Stegostoma tigrinum: one gene and its partner. The protein of the gene in region 2 purifies or fractionates together with the protein of the main gene of each other region. This does not show direct contact. Links are inferred from orthologs where the notes say so. Each region holds a gene or a part of one and is shown on either strand. Other genes may lie near its edges.

What was found. The genes of interacting proteins can lie anywhere in the genome.
Region 1: the proteins of stx12 (region 2) and synaptosomal-associated protein 23-like purify together in Homo sapiens (affinity purification with mass spectrometry; 3 studies listed by BioGRID and IntAct, counting the BioPlex papers as one, with this or other methods). This does not show direct contact. The link is inferred for Stegostoma tigrinum from reciprocal best matches to the Homo sapiens genes STX12 and SNAP23.

Annotation. Positions count from the first base shown.
Region 1 is NC_081363.1:85,180,233-85,188,586, reverse strand, and holds the start of synaptosomal-associated protein 23-like, read right to left. Parts: upstream 3,606-8,354; 5' UTR 3,526-3,605; intron 1-3,525. UniProt on the Homo sapiens protein: Essential component of the high affinity receptor for the general membrane fusion machinery and an important regulator of transport vesicle docking and fusion.
Region 2 is NC_081377.1:38,845,418-38,853,437, forward strand, and holds the start of stx12 (syntaxin-12), read right to left. Parts: upstream 3,373-8,020; 5' UTR 3,265-3,372; exon of another isoform or gene 3,180-3,264; intron 3,018-3,179; exon of another isoform or gene 2,994-3,017; intron 1-2,993. UniProt on the Homo sapiens protein: SNARE promoting fusion of transport vesicles with target membranes. Together with SNARE STX6, promotes movement of vesicles from endosomes to the cell membrane, and may therefore function in the endocytic recycling pathway.

The DNA.
Region 1 (8,354 bases), on a different chromosome or scaffold from region 2:
CCTCCCCCTCTCTCCCTATTTATTCCAGTTCCCTCCCCCCATCCCCCTCTCTGATGAAGGGTCTAGGCCCGAAACGTCAGCTTTTGTGCTCCTGAGATGCTGCTTGGCCTGCTGTGTTCATCCAGCCTCACATTTTATTATCTTGGAATCTCCAGCATCTGCAGTTCCCATTATCTCTGAAACAAATTACAGCATTTGGATTACTCCCAAACAAACAATCCTCTGGAACAACAGATCAGCAGCAACACTAAAGGCAGGATCAGCCAGACACCAATCAAGGAACTCTGAGGAAGTGTCTTCTCAGATATGAAACACAAACTTTATTTCTCTCAGTTGCTCAGTTCCTCCTGCATTTATTATTTTTAAACAAGGACAGGTTCAACGCCTGCTATGGAAACACATTGCTCTCACCTCCATTGGAAATCTGACCCAAGCCACACAACATACAGATAGGACTATCACCTGGCAAAGCCTGGCTCAGAGGTACAGATCCTCAGGTAGGGGTAGTTTTGCTTCTGGAGTGGAGGCGCCAGGGGATTAAGGCAATGGGTGATATATTTGAGAGATGTGGGAATGAAGAGGCGATTACAGGTGGCAAACAGGGGGAGAAAAGGGGGTGACAAAGAGGGAGAGGGGGTACTTGCAACCTTAGGTTTTGCACCATAGAATGGTACCTTTCAGTCACCATGATACCTGTGACAGCTCTCAGGAAAAGCAGCTTAGCACATCCTAAAACAGTGCATTTCTAATTTCTCCAGACATCCACACGTGAATCTGTCCCTGTCACACAGTATATATGCTAAATCTTCACTGTGTAAAACACCTTGTGCTCAGTGCACCTTCGGTCCTTTATTATTAACTTGTGCCTCCTGCCCTTCCAACCATCTGCTAATGTGAACAGGATTTCTCTGCCTACGAATTGGGTCACGTTATGAACTATCGCTTTTGAGAAGGGTGAGCGAACACCCCAGCTTCTGCAAAACAAAAACAGGAATTGAAGAAACACAGGTCTGACTTCTACATAGAGATAAGAATTGAATTCTGGTATGACTCTGCAGAACCTTTTGTAGTTCATGCACAACACTCAGAAACACAGTCATGAGCATGGAAACAGACCACTCAGATCCAAACTCAAAGCTCTGCAAACACTCAATTCAGATAATATGCTTCCTTTTTATCCTTTGAGCCAAGATTAGACAACTTCCTACTTGATACTAAATTTGCCAGATCTTCACCCACTCACTTAACCTATTGACATCCCTCTGTAACTCCCATACGTCCTTTTCACAACTCCTTTTCTGATCTACCTGTAGGCCATCAGCAAGTTTAGCACCCACGCTGTCTGTTCCTTCATCCAAATCATTCATAGAAATTGTAAAAAGTGGAAGCCCCAGGACAGCTCCTGTGGCGTACCACTCGTTCCATGTTGCCAACCATAAAATGACGCATTTATCCCCACTGTTTTCTGAAGCCAGGCAATCTCCTATCTGTATATTACCTCTGACACTATGTGCTTTTTATTTTCTGCAATAACCTTTAGTACGCAATCTTATCAAATGTCTTCTGGAAATCCAAGTGCACTACATTCAGCTTCCCTTTCTCTACCGCTGGTGTTACATCGTCAAAGGACTCCAATAAAATGATTAGAAAGGATTTCTCTTTCTCAAAACCACATTGATTTGGTCTGAATTTCCTAAATGTCTTCAATAATCGTCCCTACCATAAATGTTAGGTCAAATGGCCTTTTGTTCCTGCCATTTTTTGTTTTAAATAAAGTTACATTCACTATTTTCCAATCCAATAGAAACTGTCTGAATTACAGAGCTATGAAAAATTAAAACCAATGGATAACTATTAGCCATTTTGAAAGACATTTAGATGAAGCCCTGCAGGGTCCAGGAATTGTCAGCCCACAGTTTCACCAATTTGCTCAATAGTACTTCCCTGGTGATTGTAATTTTTCTGATAGTCTCTACCTTCCATTTTCTGATTGAAAGCCATTTCTAAGATGGCCTGCAATCATGTTGCAATTGAAACCTTTGACTTATATTGCTTCTCCTTCTTTCCCCTGCCAAAGTGTATCACTTCATGTCTAACTGCTTTGCATCGCACTTGTCACAGACCAAACAAAATTTACAGGATGTAGACATCACTGGCATGACCAGCATTTATTGTCTGTACCAAGCTGAGGTAGTAGGGAGCTGCCTACTTGAAAACCTAAAGTCCATTTTGTGGAGGTACATGCACACTCGTGAAAGGGTGGAACTTCCACAATTCTGACTCAGCAACACTGAAGTAACGGTAACATATGTCCAAGTCAGGATGGTAAGTGGCTTGGAGGGAAGCTTGCAGGGGTGGTATTCCCGTACATCAGCTATGCTTGTCATTCGAGATGGAATTTTGAAGGTGCTAAGGAATACTGGTGAATTTCTGCAGTGCAGCTTACGGATAGTACACACTGCTGCTACTGACCATTGGCATTAGAGGGAGTGGCTGTTTCCTGCAAGCTACCTTGTCCCAGTTAGTGTCAAGCTTAAATGTTCTTGGAGCTGCATTCGTCCAGGCAAATAGGGAATATTCCATCACATTCCTGACCTTGCCTTTTAGATGGCGGACAGGCTTTGGGGAGTCAGGAAGTGAGTTAGTCACCGCAGGACTCCTCATCTGCTCTGGTAGCCACTGCATTTATGTGGTGAGTCCAGTTGAGTTTCTGTGCAATGGGTAACCCAAAGACATTAATAGGGGTTTCAGGGACAGTTACATCATTGAATGGCAATCGTTCAACTCTTTCTTGTTGGAGATGGTAAATGTATGGCACAATTGTTACTTGCCACTCATCTGTCAGAAAGGATGTGTTGCTAAAGGTAAGCATATAGATGCAGCAGGCAATAAAGGAGGGAAGTAGTATGTTGGCTTTTGTTGAGAGAGGTTTTGATGCACACTAGGTCAATGCAGCCTTTTTTGTCAAGAACAATCATTATTTTCACCTCACCCCAGTCTTCCCATTTCACCAGCCTACCCACATCCCGAAGGCTGTTTTGCAAATTTTGAAATTGTGCGAGTGCACGCTCTTATGCCAATGAAACAGTGATGCTCAATCACGTTCATCGTTACCGTTTTCCGATCGGCCGACTAACCTTACCCCCGAGTATTCCAGCATTTATCCCGCGGCGCTTGACTGAATGCCTTTTAGGCATCCAGTCCACACTGACATATCTACAGCATCGTCCCCGCCTTCAACATTTCAAGCAAGTTAGTCAAACACAGTCTGCCTTCACAATTCCCTGCAGGCTTTCCTTTATAAACGCACACTGGTCCGGATCGTTGTTAACTGGGGCCCGGGACTAAGCCACCTCCCCCCACGCCTCAGTCACCCACCCAACTCCCTGGTACTACCCTCTCTCCTTATCCCCCATCCACTGGAACTTACCCTCCCAGGACACTCACCACTACCGCCTCCCCTACCCATTGTACCCTAACATATTCAACACCCTCCCTCAGTCACTCACTCACTCACTCACTCACCTCTCCAGCGCAGCCTCTCTCCGGTCTCGGTCGATTCCCACCCTCTCAATGCGCATGCCCTATGCCTCGTGACGTCATCACCACCCGCGCCGCACGACGACATTGAACGCCCCGTTCCGGGCTGCGCGTAGCTGGACCGCGTTGTCGGGGCGTGTGCCCTGACGCTGGTCTCACTCCCCAGCTCCAGCTCCCAGGATCCCCAGCGTGGCCACGGCAAGATGGCGGTGCTCCCCTGAGCAGTGCGGCCCAGTCTCGGGCCTGAGAGGTCCATTTACCGTGAGTAATTCTAGCCCCCGCTCCCCACCTTCGGGACGACCCTCCAACCAGCACAAACTCGTTCCTCACCCCCCCACCCCCAACCCCTCTCACGGCAATCTCAACACCCTCTTCCCTCACACCGGTTGTTACCCCTTAACGTCACACGTCCTTTCCACCTTCCCCGCCCACAACCTCTCTGTCTTTCCCATTCCCCCCATCTTCTCTCTTCTCGCCCCCCATCTTCTCTCTTCTCGCCCGCCCCCCATCTTCTCTCTTCTCGCCCGCCCCCCATCTTCTCTCTTCTCGCCCGCCCCCCATCTTCTCTCTTCTCGCCCGCCCCCCATCTTCTCTCTTCTCGCCCGCCCCCCATCTTCTCTCTTCTCGCCCGCCCCCCATCTTCTCTCTTCTCGCCCGCCCCCCATCTTCTCTCTTCTCGCCCGCCCCCCATCTTCTCTCTTCTCGCCCGCCCCCCATCTTCTCTCTTCTCGCCCGCCCCCCATCTTCTCTCTTCTCGCCCGCCCCCCATCTTCTCTCTTCTCGCCCGCCCCCCATCTTCTCTCTTCTCGCCCGCCCCCCACCTGAAAGCGAAGGTGGTAAGCATTGGTTGCACTTGGACCAGTTGACCCAGGTGAGTTCTCTGGGTAGGTATGAAGAGAGGTTGGAGAGAAGCTGGAAAAAGATCTATGTTGAAAGTGAATACAGCAAAGAGTGTCCAACGATGTTTAATCTGAAACACTTGGTTGATTTTTTTTGTGTTTGATTTATTTTTGTCACAAAAATCTTGATACAGTGACAAGTTTTGTTTTGGCTGCATTTCAGACAGATCATATACAAAGCGCATTAGGGTAATAGAACAAAGTGAAGAATACAAAGTTAAGGCTGCAAATAAGGTACACAAAATGCTAGATCAACATTTAAATATAAAATTTTAGAGATCCATTCAGAAGTCTAATAAGTGGCAAAAAACGCAGTTCTTGAATCTGTTAGTACATGTGTTTCAGCTTTTGTATCTTCTGCTTGACGCAAGAGGTTGGAAGAGATTATAAGCTGGGTGGGAGGGTGTCTTTGATTATGTTGGCTGCCTTTCAAAGGCAGCAAGAAGTGCAGATGGAGTCAATGCATGGAAGTTTGGCTTGCATGATGGATTGGGCTGTATTCATAAATCTGTGCAGTTCCTTAATGGCTGTGGGCAGAGCAGTTGCCATACCATCTGTTTAGAATGCTTTCTATGTTGGATGGTCATGATCAAAACGACAAAGGTATGCATGGGCCTCTTTCTCTTGTTAAGAGTGAGGATGTTGGAGAAATGCATTAAGTCGGTTGGCAGTGTGGAAAAGAAAACCTGGGGTGCTTTTGCATTGCAGGTTGACTCTGTAAACCCACAAACCTGTTTCTTTGAAGTGAAATATATAAATGGTCCTCAATTATGGTTTCAAGAAAAGATCTGATTTTTTTTAACCACATATTGTTCAATGAAAAACATCTGACTAGCCCTAACTTTCAAGCTAGCTAAATCCAAGTCGATTTGTGACCTTATGGATGCAAATATGCACTCTGGTATTGGTAGAGAGGTGAAGAGGGTCCTTGGAGACATTCTTGAATAGATCAGCCAATCAATCATAAGATCCCAGAAATAGGAGCAGTGGTTGGCAGTTCAAAGTATCAAGGCTCCGCCAACATTCAGAAAGAGCGTGGCTTGAATTTTTATATTCAGTCAACGGATTTGGGCTTTGGCTAGTCTAGCATTTATTGCCCTTGAAAAAGCAATGGTAAATGCCTTGAACCTCTGCAGTCCTTGGTGGTGTAAATACATCCACAGTGTTGTTAGGGAGGGAGTTCTGGGATTTTAACCTAGTGACCATGAAGGAAGAAATTTCATACTAAATTATGATGGTTTAGAGGGGAACTAGCAGATTGTGGTGTTCCCTTGCATTTGCTGCACTTGGCCCTGTCATTGGAAGAGATCGTGGATTTGGAAAGTGCTGACGAAGGAGTCTTGATGAGTTCCTGCACTGCATCTTTCAGATGATACACACTGCTGCCAATGCGAGAGGGAGTGAATGTTGAAGTTGATGGATGGGGTGCAACTCGGTGGACTGCTTTGTCTTTGTTGTTGAGTGTTGTTGGAGCTAAACTCATTCAGCCAAGTTGAGAGAATTCTATCACACTCTATCTTGTGACATGTAGATGGTGGACTGGCTTGGGGAATTGGAAAGTAGCTACTTGTTGCAGAATTCCTAACCTCTGACCTGCTCTTGTAGCCACAGTATTTATAGCTATTTTCTGATCAACTTGTTCAGAGGTGTGTTACATATCTCTGCAGCAGTTGAGACTTGAACTTGGGCATCCTGGCTCAGGTACGGAAGCAAAAGCACTAGCCACAATGTTCATATGGTTAGTCCAGTTCATTTTCACTCAATGGTGACCCTGGGGATTTCAGTGATGGTAATACCATTGAATATATAGGTGCAATGGTTCGATTCTTTCTTCATCGTGTGAGTATACACAATGGTACTGAAATTTGCATGATCATCAGTGAGCATCCCAAACTCTGACTTTATGATGGAGTGAAGGGCATTAATGAGGCAGCTGAAAATGGTAAGGCTGCGGATACTACCCCAAAGAGCTCCTGCACTGGAGCTGGGATGACTGACCTCAAACGAGCGTAACGATCTTCATTTGTCGTCAGGGTATGATCCAACCAGCAGAGAGTTCCTCAGTTCTTGTTGATTCCAGTTTTGCTTGGGCTCCTTGATGCTATATATGATGCTGGGGATCTCAGGTGGAAGTTGAGCTGGATCATCTACTCAGTATTTCCAGCTGATGATTGGTGCAAATGCTACAGGCTTATCTTTTGCACTCGAGCTGGGATCTTCCATCATTGAGGATGGGAATATTTATGGAGCTGTCTCCTCAAGTTGTTAGTGAATATTCCAGTACCCCTCAGCTGCGTGTATTAGGAGTGTGGAGGTTAGATTGGCTCTATTGGTTACTGCATTGAAGTTGTAGATTTGCTCACCAAGACGGTGTGTTTGGTTGCAGGCACTTTGTCACCCTGCTAGGTAACATCATCAGTGTGTCTCTGGTGGAGCATTGGCATTCTGTCCCGCTTGATATTGATATGCTTTGGTTTATTGGGTGGTTGGCATTATTTCTGGTTCTGTTTTTCAATGGTTTGTATATCGGGTCCAGTTCAATGTGTGTGTTGATGGAGTTCTGGTTGGAATGCTAGGCCTCCAGGAATTCTCTGGCTCGCGCTATTATTGGATGTGTTGTCCCTGTCGAATTAGTGTCCTTATTTGTCTGTGTGTACTGACACCAGTGAAAATTGGTCGTGTCTCTCGGTGGCTAGTTGGTGTTCGTGTGTCCTTTATAGTCAGTCTTCTTCCAGTTTGGCCTATGTAATGTTTTTCACAGACCTTGCATGGTATTTTGTACACTATTGGTGGTGGGTATGAGATCATTTGCATTCATCAGTTGCTGTTGCAGGGTGGCCAACATTCTATGTGCCTTTCAAATTATTGGCTGTGCTCTGGTGCTAACTTTGTGATTCATGAACTGGGACACCAAGTCCCTCTGTTCTGTAGCATTCAGCAGTAAGACTAGAAGAAATATGACAGGAGTAGGCCATTCAGTCTGTTGAACTACTCCGCCATTGAATAGCCTCTCTGTCTCTGCCCATTGAAGTAATATTCTTCTGTTTTTCCTGCTAAGGTACACAACCTTACATTTTCCCCCATCATGTGACTGGCAATTTTTTTTGCTGGCTCATTGAATCTGTTCCTTTGAAGACTCTATCCTCCCCCACATGTGCTTTCCTTTGTATCTTGGTAACATTGGCCACAAATTTGGCTACGTGTTATTTGTCATTTCATCATGGTGGTATTATGCACTGATTGCCCACACACTTCACCGGTTATAGTTTGACCATTTTTCCAGACTGCCCATTCCTTATTAGCCAGTCCACAGCATATCACCCCCAAAACTGTGTCCTCTCAACCGATGCAGTTACCTTTTTTTGTGGCAGCTAAAGATACCTCTTTAAACCCCAAAAACACTACATTTACAAGTTCATCTTTATCCACCTGCTTACATCTTATAAGAAATTTAACAAATTTGTCAAACATTGGGTGGTATGGTGCGTCAATGGTTAGTACTGCTGCCTCAACACCAGGGACTGAAGTTCGATTCTAGCTTTGGATGACTATGCGTATGGAGTTTGCACATTCTCTCTGAATCTGTGTGGATTTCTGCCAGGATCTCTAGTTTCCTCTCACAGTTCAAAGATATGCAAGTTATGTGGATTCGCCGTGCTAAATTACCTCATAATGTGCAGGCTAGGCGGATTGGCTATTGGAAATGAGAGATTATGGGGATAGGGTGGGGGAATGGGAGTGGGTGAGATGTTATTTGGCGCAGATTCGATGGGCCAAATGGCCTGTTGCCATACAGTAGGAATTCTATAATTCTATAAACATTATTTTCCTTTCACAAAAACATTTTGTTTTTGCCTGATTTTATTTTTCAATTTCCATCTAGTACTGCCTCAGTGGATTCTAGCATTTCCCCAG
Region 2 (8,020 bases):
ATTCCACCTATTATTTTTTCAGATTAAAACAAAGTGGAAAGGCCAAACAGTAACAAGTGATTCAGTTAGAACGGTTATCTTAGGATACCTATAGTGTGAAAGGAGGCCATTCAGCCCATCAAGTCCACACCCCTCCTCCAAAGAAAACCCCACACAGACCAACCCCCTACCCTATCCCTGTAACCCTGCATTTCCCATGGCTAATTCACCTCATCTGTAAAGACCTGGGCATTATGGGCAATTTAGCATGGCTAATCCACCTAACCTGCACTGTGGAAGAAAACCCATGCAAAGAGGGGGAAGGGGGTGGTGGTGGAGGCGGAGAGAACTTGCAAACTGCACACAGTAGCCCGAGGGTAGGATTGAACCTAGCTCCCTGGTGCCGAGACAGCAATGCTAACCACTGAACCACCACAGGTTATTATACAGGAGACTGCCAGTTAGCCACTTTGGGCAGCGTTGGAACTCTGGCACAGCAATTTTAGCTAGTCGCAATTCCTTGCCCTGTGGCCACCACAAACCCATCACTATGGTAAAATTGTCTCAGATTCCCTTTTCCTACTTTTAAACCAAGGAGCAAATGGCAACATGCTTGGAATGCACAAGTGCTACAATTCCAAAGGTGTATAGATAATTCAGAACAAATATTAATTGTTCCAACTGACAGCACGATATTCTGTTGTGTCGCCATAATACCTTTAAAAGATGGAACTTCGCGTGAAAAATTCAGCTGGTAACTCTCTACAGCAGTATACTTATGTAGTCACTTGTGAACAAAGTGAAAGTTCAATCTAAATGTGAACAGGACAACTTGGCAATTTGCTGCTACCAGGGCACATCTGTCAGATCTACGCTCAGTCTGCTTTACTTCCCTGACTGAAATGCTTTTCAATCCGTTGTAATGTGAAATTAAGAAAAGAATAATCACAGTTCAATTCACAACCTGTGCCAAATTAGCCAATCTCAATGAAAACAGTGGTTCATAAAGGAGATAATCAATCTAAATTCTCATTCCAAATCATTAACTAATGAAGTTCACTGTTAAATGTACACATCAAGGATGACAGAACAGGTGTCAGCTGTATATCTGAATCAAAACGATAAAGCAGAAGGCACTTTCAGGAAGGAAGGGAAATATAGGAAGAAAAGTCTTTATATTAAATGTTTGTGGTGTATTCATAAATACAGGATCTGGCAATCTACTTATGAATTCAGAGACCAGGAATGTGATCATTAACAACTTTGAAAATAAAACGATTGCAGCTATGTTTACCTAACAGTTCACACAGCATGACATATTGAAATACAGGAACAGTCCACTGACTTCAGTGTGATGTTCTTTCAACTCACTAGCGACAGCAGATTGTTTTCAGGCAATGCAACAGCCACATTCCTAAAAAAGAGGTAACTGCAGTAGTAACTGAAATAGTGCCATATTCTGGAGAATATGAATGATACAAAGGTATCTTTCCTGTTCTAATTATAACAGCTCATTTATAATTGCTCAAATGTGCTCTAATCTGGCTCACTAGTAGCAATGACAAGTATATTACATGTGTTGTTAACAGGATGAGTTTGGAGGCCAGTGGAAAACAGCCTTTTCTCATTCATGACTAATCATAAAAAATTAGTCAGTTAAGGATGATTCACCTTTCAAAAATGAGACAACTTGTTAAGAGACTAATAATAGAAGAGGTCTAGTTTGAATTAAATTTTATTGAAGACATTAAAAAAGGCCTTCTTAATACCACTATGAGTATGGCTACACCCAGAGATTCCAGAAGCAACCTAGCACTCTGATATAAGAAGGTGTAGAGCTGGATGAATACAGCAGAGGAGCAGGAAGGCTGACGTTTTGGGCCTAGACCATTCTAGGCCCGAAACATCTGCTTTCCTGTTCCTCTGATGTTGCCTGGCCTGCTGTGTTCATCCAGCTTTACACCTTGTTACCTTAAATTTTCCAGTATCTGCTGTTCCTACTATCTCTCGCACTCTTTCTACAGAGCAATTAGGGATGGACAACAAATGCTAGCCCAGCCAGTAGCACCCTGACTCTAAAATTTTTTGAAAATATAAAATACAACTTAACACCTAGGTCATTTAGCCACACCACAAATACATCCAAGTGGGCTGTCAGGGTTGAGGTGGTGCAATATCACATTTGAAAGAAGTCAAAATACTGGAAACAAAGTCCACAGTAACTGTCAAAGTTAAACGGTCATGCTTCAATAGAGCTAGTTCAACATCAATATTTGCCACATTTATAGGTATTAACAGCTTAGTTAGGGCCAATTATATTTTTTGCTGAGGCTGTGCTTGCTTGGATTAGACTGGCTACCATAATTCTCCAATTTGCCTTTTAAACATTCAGTAGTCAGACTGAATGGTCACAGACTCCCACCCAGAAACAGTGAATTATGCAAGCTTCAAAATGCCATCCTTGTGGGCAAGACAGCTCAATCCTGTATCCTACAGAACATCTTCACAAACTCATTAAAATTAACTTCTTTTATAACCACTTCATCAAGATTCCAAACAATGCCTCAGAGTCCAAACCTGAGTAGCACTTAGGTGTTACCTCTGCCCTTGAACTCTAAACAGTCATCCCCAACTCTGAATTCAAAATCAAAAATAGAAATTGCTGGAGAAATAGTTCTGAAGGATAACTAGACCCAAAACATTAACACTGTTTTCTCTCCACAGAGGCTGTCGTACATGCACATGTTTCCAGCAATGTCTGTTTGTGTTTCAGAGCTCCAGGATTTTCGGTTCTTTGTTTTAAGAAAAAAATAAGTATTGAAACCCTCGTCTCATTGACAGGTCCCTTCATGGCCACCGCCCACCATCCTCCATTGGAGTCCCTCCGCTTGCCCATACAATCCACCACACTCAACACTTCAATTTGGCCCTGGTGCTTCCTTTGGCTCCGTAAAGCAGTCAGGTTCGAACAGGTTATAAAGGGCGTTGGCTGCCTTTAAGTCGCCTTCACTCACGTTCGAGCATCGGCCCGGGCCAGGGCCAGGGCCAGGGCCAATAACAGCTGGGTAGCCCAGGGAGCTGCAAAATAATGTACCCCAACCGCCCCAGTGCGCAGGCGCCAGGTCACCTATCTCTATAGATACACTATTTGGCCCCGGTCAAAAAGTGTTGTCGACAACGGAAGAGTAAATAACACACACCTCCACCCAAGGCTGCCTGCTTTATCCGAGAGTTTCCTACCGCAGCGTATACCTTAACCAAAGGAGCGCCGCTCCCGACACCCACCGAAAGCCCCGACAAAATCACGTGAGCTTAACGTCACGGACGTGGTCACGCCCACTCGTGCGGGATGATGTCACCAGGAATCTGTCAATCACACCTTGGAGGCCATTCAGCCCATCCACACCACAGAAAGAGAGTGAGCCAGCGAGAACTCCAGATGCTGGGGTCAGAGACAATAAATATGTTATAAACCAGTCCTGATGAAGAGTCTAGGCCCGAAACGTCGACTCTCCTGCTCCATTGTGCTGCCTGACCTGTTGTGTTCGTCCAGCTCCACACTGTGTCGACTCCAGGAAGGAAGCTGGCTTCTGCTTTCACTTTCCCATGCTCTTGTCTGCAGGTAATCGTACCAGGACAGTCAGCTTGGATCACAAGCGCAAATTGCAGGAGAAACTGGGCTGGTCTGGAAGCATCTGCACGGAGAGAAACAAGTGTTAACGTTTCCAGTCCCGTGACCCTTCATCAGCACTCAACTCAGATTAGAGATAACAAAGTATGGAGCTGGATGAACGGAGCAGGAAAGCTGACGTTTCGGGCCTAGACCCTTTCATCACGGATTCTTAAGCATCTGCAGCTCCTATTACCTCAACTCAGATTAGAATTTAGTTGTGATTAAGGGTCATTGGAGTCAGAACATTAACTGTTTTCTGTCTCCACAGATGTTACTAGACCTGCTAAGTTTCTCCAGCAATTTTTGTTTTTGTTTCAGATTTTCATCATCCACAGTTCGTTGTTTAATTTCAATTAGCTTGGACGGCTGGTTTGTGATGCAGAATGATACTAACAGTATGGGCTCAATTTCTGCCCCCAGTTGGGGTTACCAATGAAGGGCTGTCCTTGCCCTGAAGGAGGGTCACTGGACTTGAAACATTAACTCTGTTTTTCTCCGCACATGCTGCCAGACCTGAGTTTCTCCAGCAATTTCTGTTTTTGTTTCAGATATTCTACGTCTGCAGATCTTTGCTTCATATGACCATTGAGGCCCTTCTCAATCTCACCTCTTGCCTGAGGCATGGTGACCCTCAGGGTAAACCATCTCCAGTCATCTCCCTCTAATGACAATGCTGCTCCACAGTCAAGTAGGACTTTGGTGATTTACCATTTACGAGAACGCTTTGCTGTCACAATAAAATCAAAACATTGCAAATTTCAGAAACCTGAAACAAACACAGAAAATACTGGTGAAACTCAGCTGGTGTGACAGCAACTGCAGACAAACAGTATTGCTGTTTCAAGCCCAATATGACTAATTCTTCCGGGGTTGGAAAATGATGGTTTTTATGTTTGTGACAGAGCACATCTCCAGCTGCTCATCTGTAAACACACTATGACATTATGATCCCACATGCTGAGCTTGACCGCTCTTTTTGCTGCACTTCATTTGTCCTCCAGAACATCTGAACATACATGAATTAGGATCAGATGTCATTCATTTGGCACCTTGAGGTTGCCCCAACATATTCATTTATATGATGTGGATGTTACTAAATGGCCAGCATTTACTGTCTATCCCTAACTACTCTTGAGAAGGTGTCTTGAACCTCTACATTAAACTGGTGTAGGTATACACACAGTGCTACTAGGAAGGTAGTTTCAGGAGTCTGTTCCAATTAGAGTTAAAAAAAAGTGATATAGTTCCATGTGAGGATGACCTGTGACTTGGAGGGGAGCTTGTCGGGGATGGTGCCCCCTTGTATCTTTTGCCTTTATTCATCTAGTTGTTGGGGGTCTTGGATTTGGAAGGTGTTGTTGTAGAAGGCTTGGTGAGTTGATGCACTACTTCTTGCAGATGGTGTACATTGCTGCTACTGAGCATTGGTGGTGGAGTTTAAATGGCTGGTTGGAATATCAATCATGTGGGCTGTTTTATTTTTGGGTGGTGTCAAGCTTCTTCAATATTATTGGAGTTGGAATCACCTAGGTGAGTGAAAAATATCCCATTACACTCCTGACTTGCACCTTGCAGATTGTAGATAGGCTTTGGGATCAGCTACTGGTTACAGAACTCTCAATTTCTGACCTGATAACATATTTTTGGGGTTGTTCAGTTCAGTTTCTGGTCAGTGTTGACTTCCAGGATGTCAACAGTGGCAAAATCAATATTAGTAATGCCATTGTACATCAATGGGTAAAAGTTAGATTCTCTTGTTAGAGATAGTCATTGCCTTGTGTGGCACATAAGTTAATTTCAACTTATGAGCACAAATATGGATGATGTTCAGATCTTGGTGCATATGGTCATGGACTATTTTAGTTTCTGAGGAGTCATGACTGCCGCTGAACCTTATGTCATCATCACCAAACATCTCTATCTCTGACCTTATAATGGAAGGGAGGTCCCTATTGAAGCAACTGATAGTGGTTGGGACTGGAACACGACTCTAAGAGACTTCTGCAGCAATTTCTCAGGACTGTGATGATTCACTTCCATCAACCACAATAATTTTCTTTTGTATAAAATTTTATCACAGCTAATCTGACTGTGGCTGAAGTCAACTTTCCTGTTTACCCTGATAATCATTGACTCCTATTGTCAATCAAAAATCCACCTAACTCAGCCTCATTTTGTATTCATTTGTGGGATATGAGCATCACTGGCTGGCCAGCATTTCTTCCCCATCTGCAATTGCCCTTGAGAAGGTGGTAGTGAACTACTTTCTTGAAGGGCTACAGTCCCCTGGCGTGAGTTGACCCACAATGCCATTAGAGAAAGAATTCCAGGATCTTGACCCACTGACAGTAAAGGAATGGCAATATATTTCCAAATCAGGATGATGGGTGGCTTGGAAAGGAACTTGAAGAAGGTGGTGTTCCCATGTCTCTACTGCCTTTGTCCTTCTAGATAGAAGTGATCCTGGGTTTAGAAGGCACTGCCTGAGGATCTTTGGTGAATTTCTGCAGTGTATCTTGTAAATAGTACACACTACTGCTACTGAATGTCAGTGGTGGAGGAAGTGGATGTGGTGCCAATTAGGCAGGCAGCTTTGTCCTGGATGTTGTCAAGCTTCTTGCGTGTTATTGGAACTGCATGGATCCAGACAAGTGGAGACTATTCTATCACACACCTGACATGTGCCTTACAGATGATGGACAGTTTTTGGGGAGTCAGGAGTTACTCACTACAGTATTCTTTGCCTCTGACCTGCTTTAATAAGTCACCGTATTTATGTGCAAGTCCAACATGTTGATAGTGGGGTTTCAGTGATGGTAACACCATGCATGTGAAGGGCAATGGTTAGACGTCCCCATATTGGCAGTGGTCATTGTCTGGCATTTGTGTGGTGCAAATGTTATTTGCTAAGTGTCAGCCTAAAACTGGTTATTGTCCCGATCTTGTTGCATTTGAACTTAAAATGAATATTCAATGACTCTGCCTACACCACTTTATTGGGAAAAGATTTTCACAGACTAATGACCCTCTAAAAGAAAAGCTTCCCTGTCGTCATCATCTTAAACTATATCTTCTAATCTTTGTTTCTCCCCATAAGGGAAAACATCATCCACCCTGTCACGTTCCCTCAAGGAGAGATCCCTATTGTTTTCCAGCTCTGATCAACTGACAAAAATACCGACAATTTCCCTCCCTAAATGTCATTTTTTGGGGTTCTTTTTGACGTTACATTTTCAAGCACCCCTTTATTTGACTATAAATGGAATTTTAGGCACATATCCTCACATCCTCATTTCAAAGATCACTGTTTCCTTCCACAGATCTTTAAGTATTGTTTGAGTTTCTGATGCATACAGAAAGTTGGGTAAGAACTCTTAGTTTCTTTTCTTGCTCAAATTTTCTTATTTTTGGCTCCTTTTCCCATAGTCCTGCAATTTTTTTCTCATCAAAGGATTTATCCAATTCTGCTTTGTAGGTAGTCTTGGCTCTGTAAAGCCAGTCACTTTCTCCTTCCCAGCATTGCCAACCCTCTAAGATTTTCCTAGTTGTTGTGGGGGAGGATTAGATCTGCCAGAGATGGGATAGATAGGGGGCCTGTTAGCAGGAGCACAGCTATTGTAACTCAGAACTCCATGGCAGCTATCACTGCCATGGAATATGTAACCCATAAACTTCATCCTGTTACCCTATTTAGGAAAGCCCTGGGGAAATTAAAAATACGGATTTTTTTTTAAAAGAGAGTGCTATTCTTCAATAACTTGTCAAAATATTAATGATAAGTCTGATTGACTGGTTGGAGCAGTTAAAAACAGGTCACAAAATCTCTAATGACATGTAAAAGCCTACTCATTCTTTATCACAAAAATATTAACTAAAGTAAAAACATATACATCTGGACGGAGGGGTGCAGAAATATTAGAATTTTAGGTGTGAATTTTGAGAATTTGCTGCTTATTCAAACATGACCTGAGTTGCAAAACCGCAGACTCTCAACACCACAAAGATCACTTATTTCAACCTTTGCCTGTCTGGCTGTTCTGCAGCATGGCTAGGTTCCAGGTTATTACAATGAGACTAGGAGGGATAATTGACTCTGCTCTTTTCAACCTCCTTTTCAGCTGCAACAAATGCTTGAAATTATTTTGTAACCCAAGGCCATGTCTCTAATAAAATGTAGTTACCCAATGTCCACTGTATCAGTAGGAGGGCTAGGTTGGCTCAAGTGGCCGGATTGCTGGCTTGCACTGCAGTGGTGCCAACAGCGCAGGTCCAATTCTTACACCAGTTGAAGGTACCATGAAAATTCCACCTTCTCAACAACTCCCCTTGCTTAAAGCATTGCAACTCTTGGGTTAAACTCACCAGCAA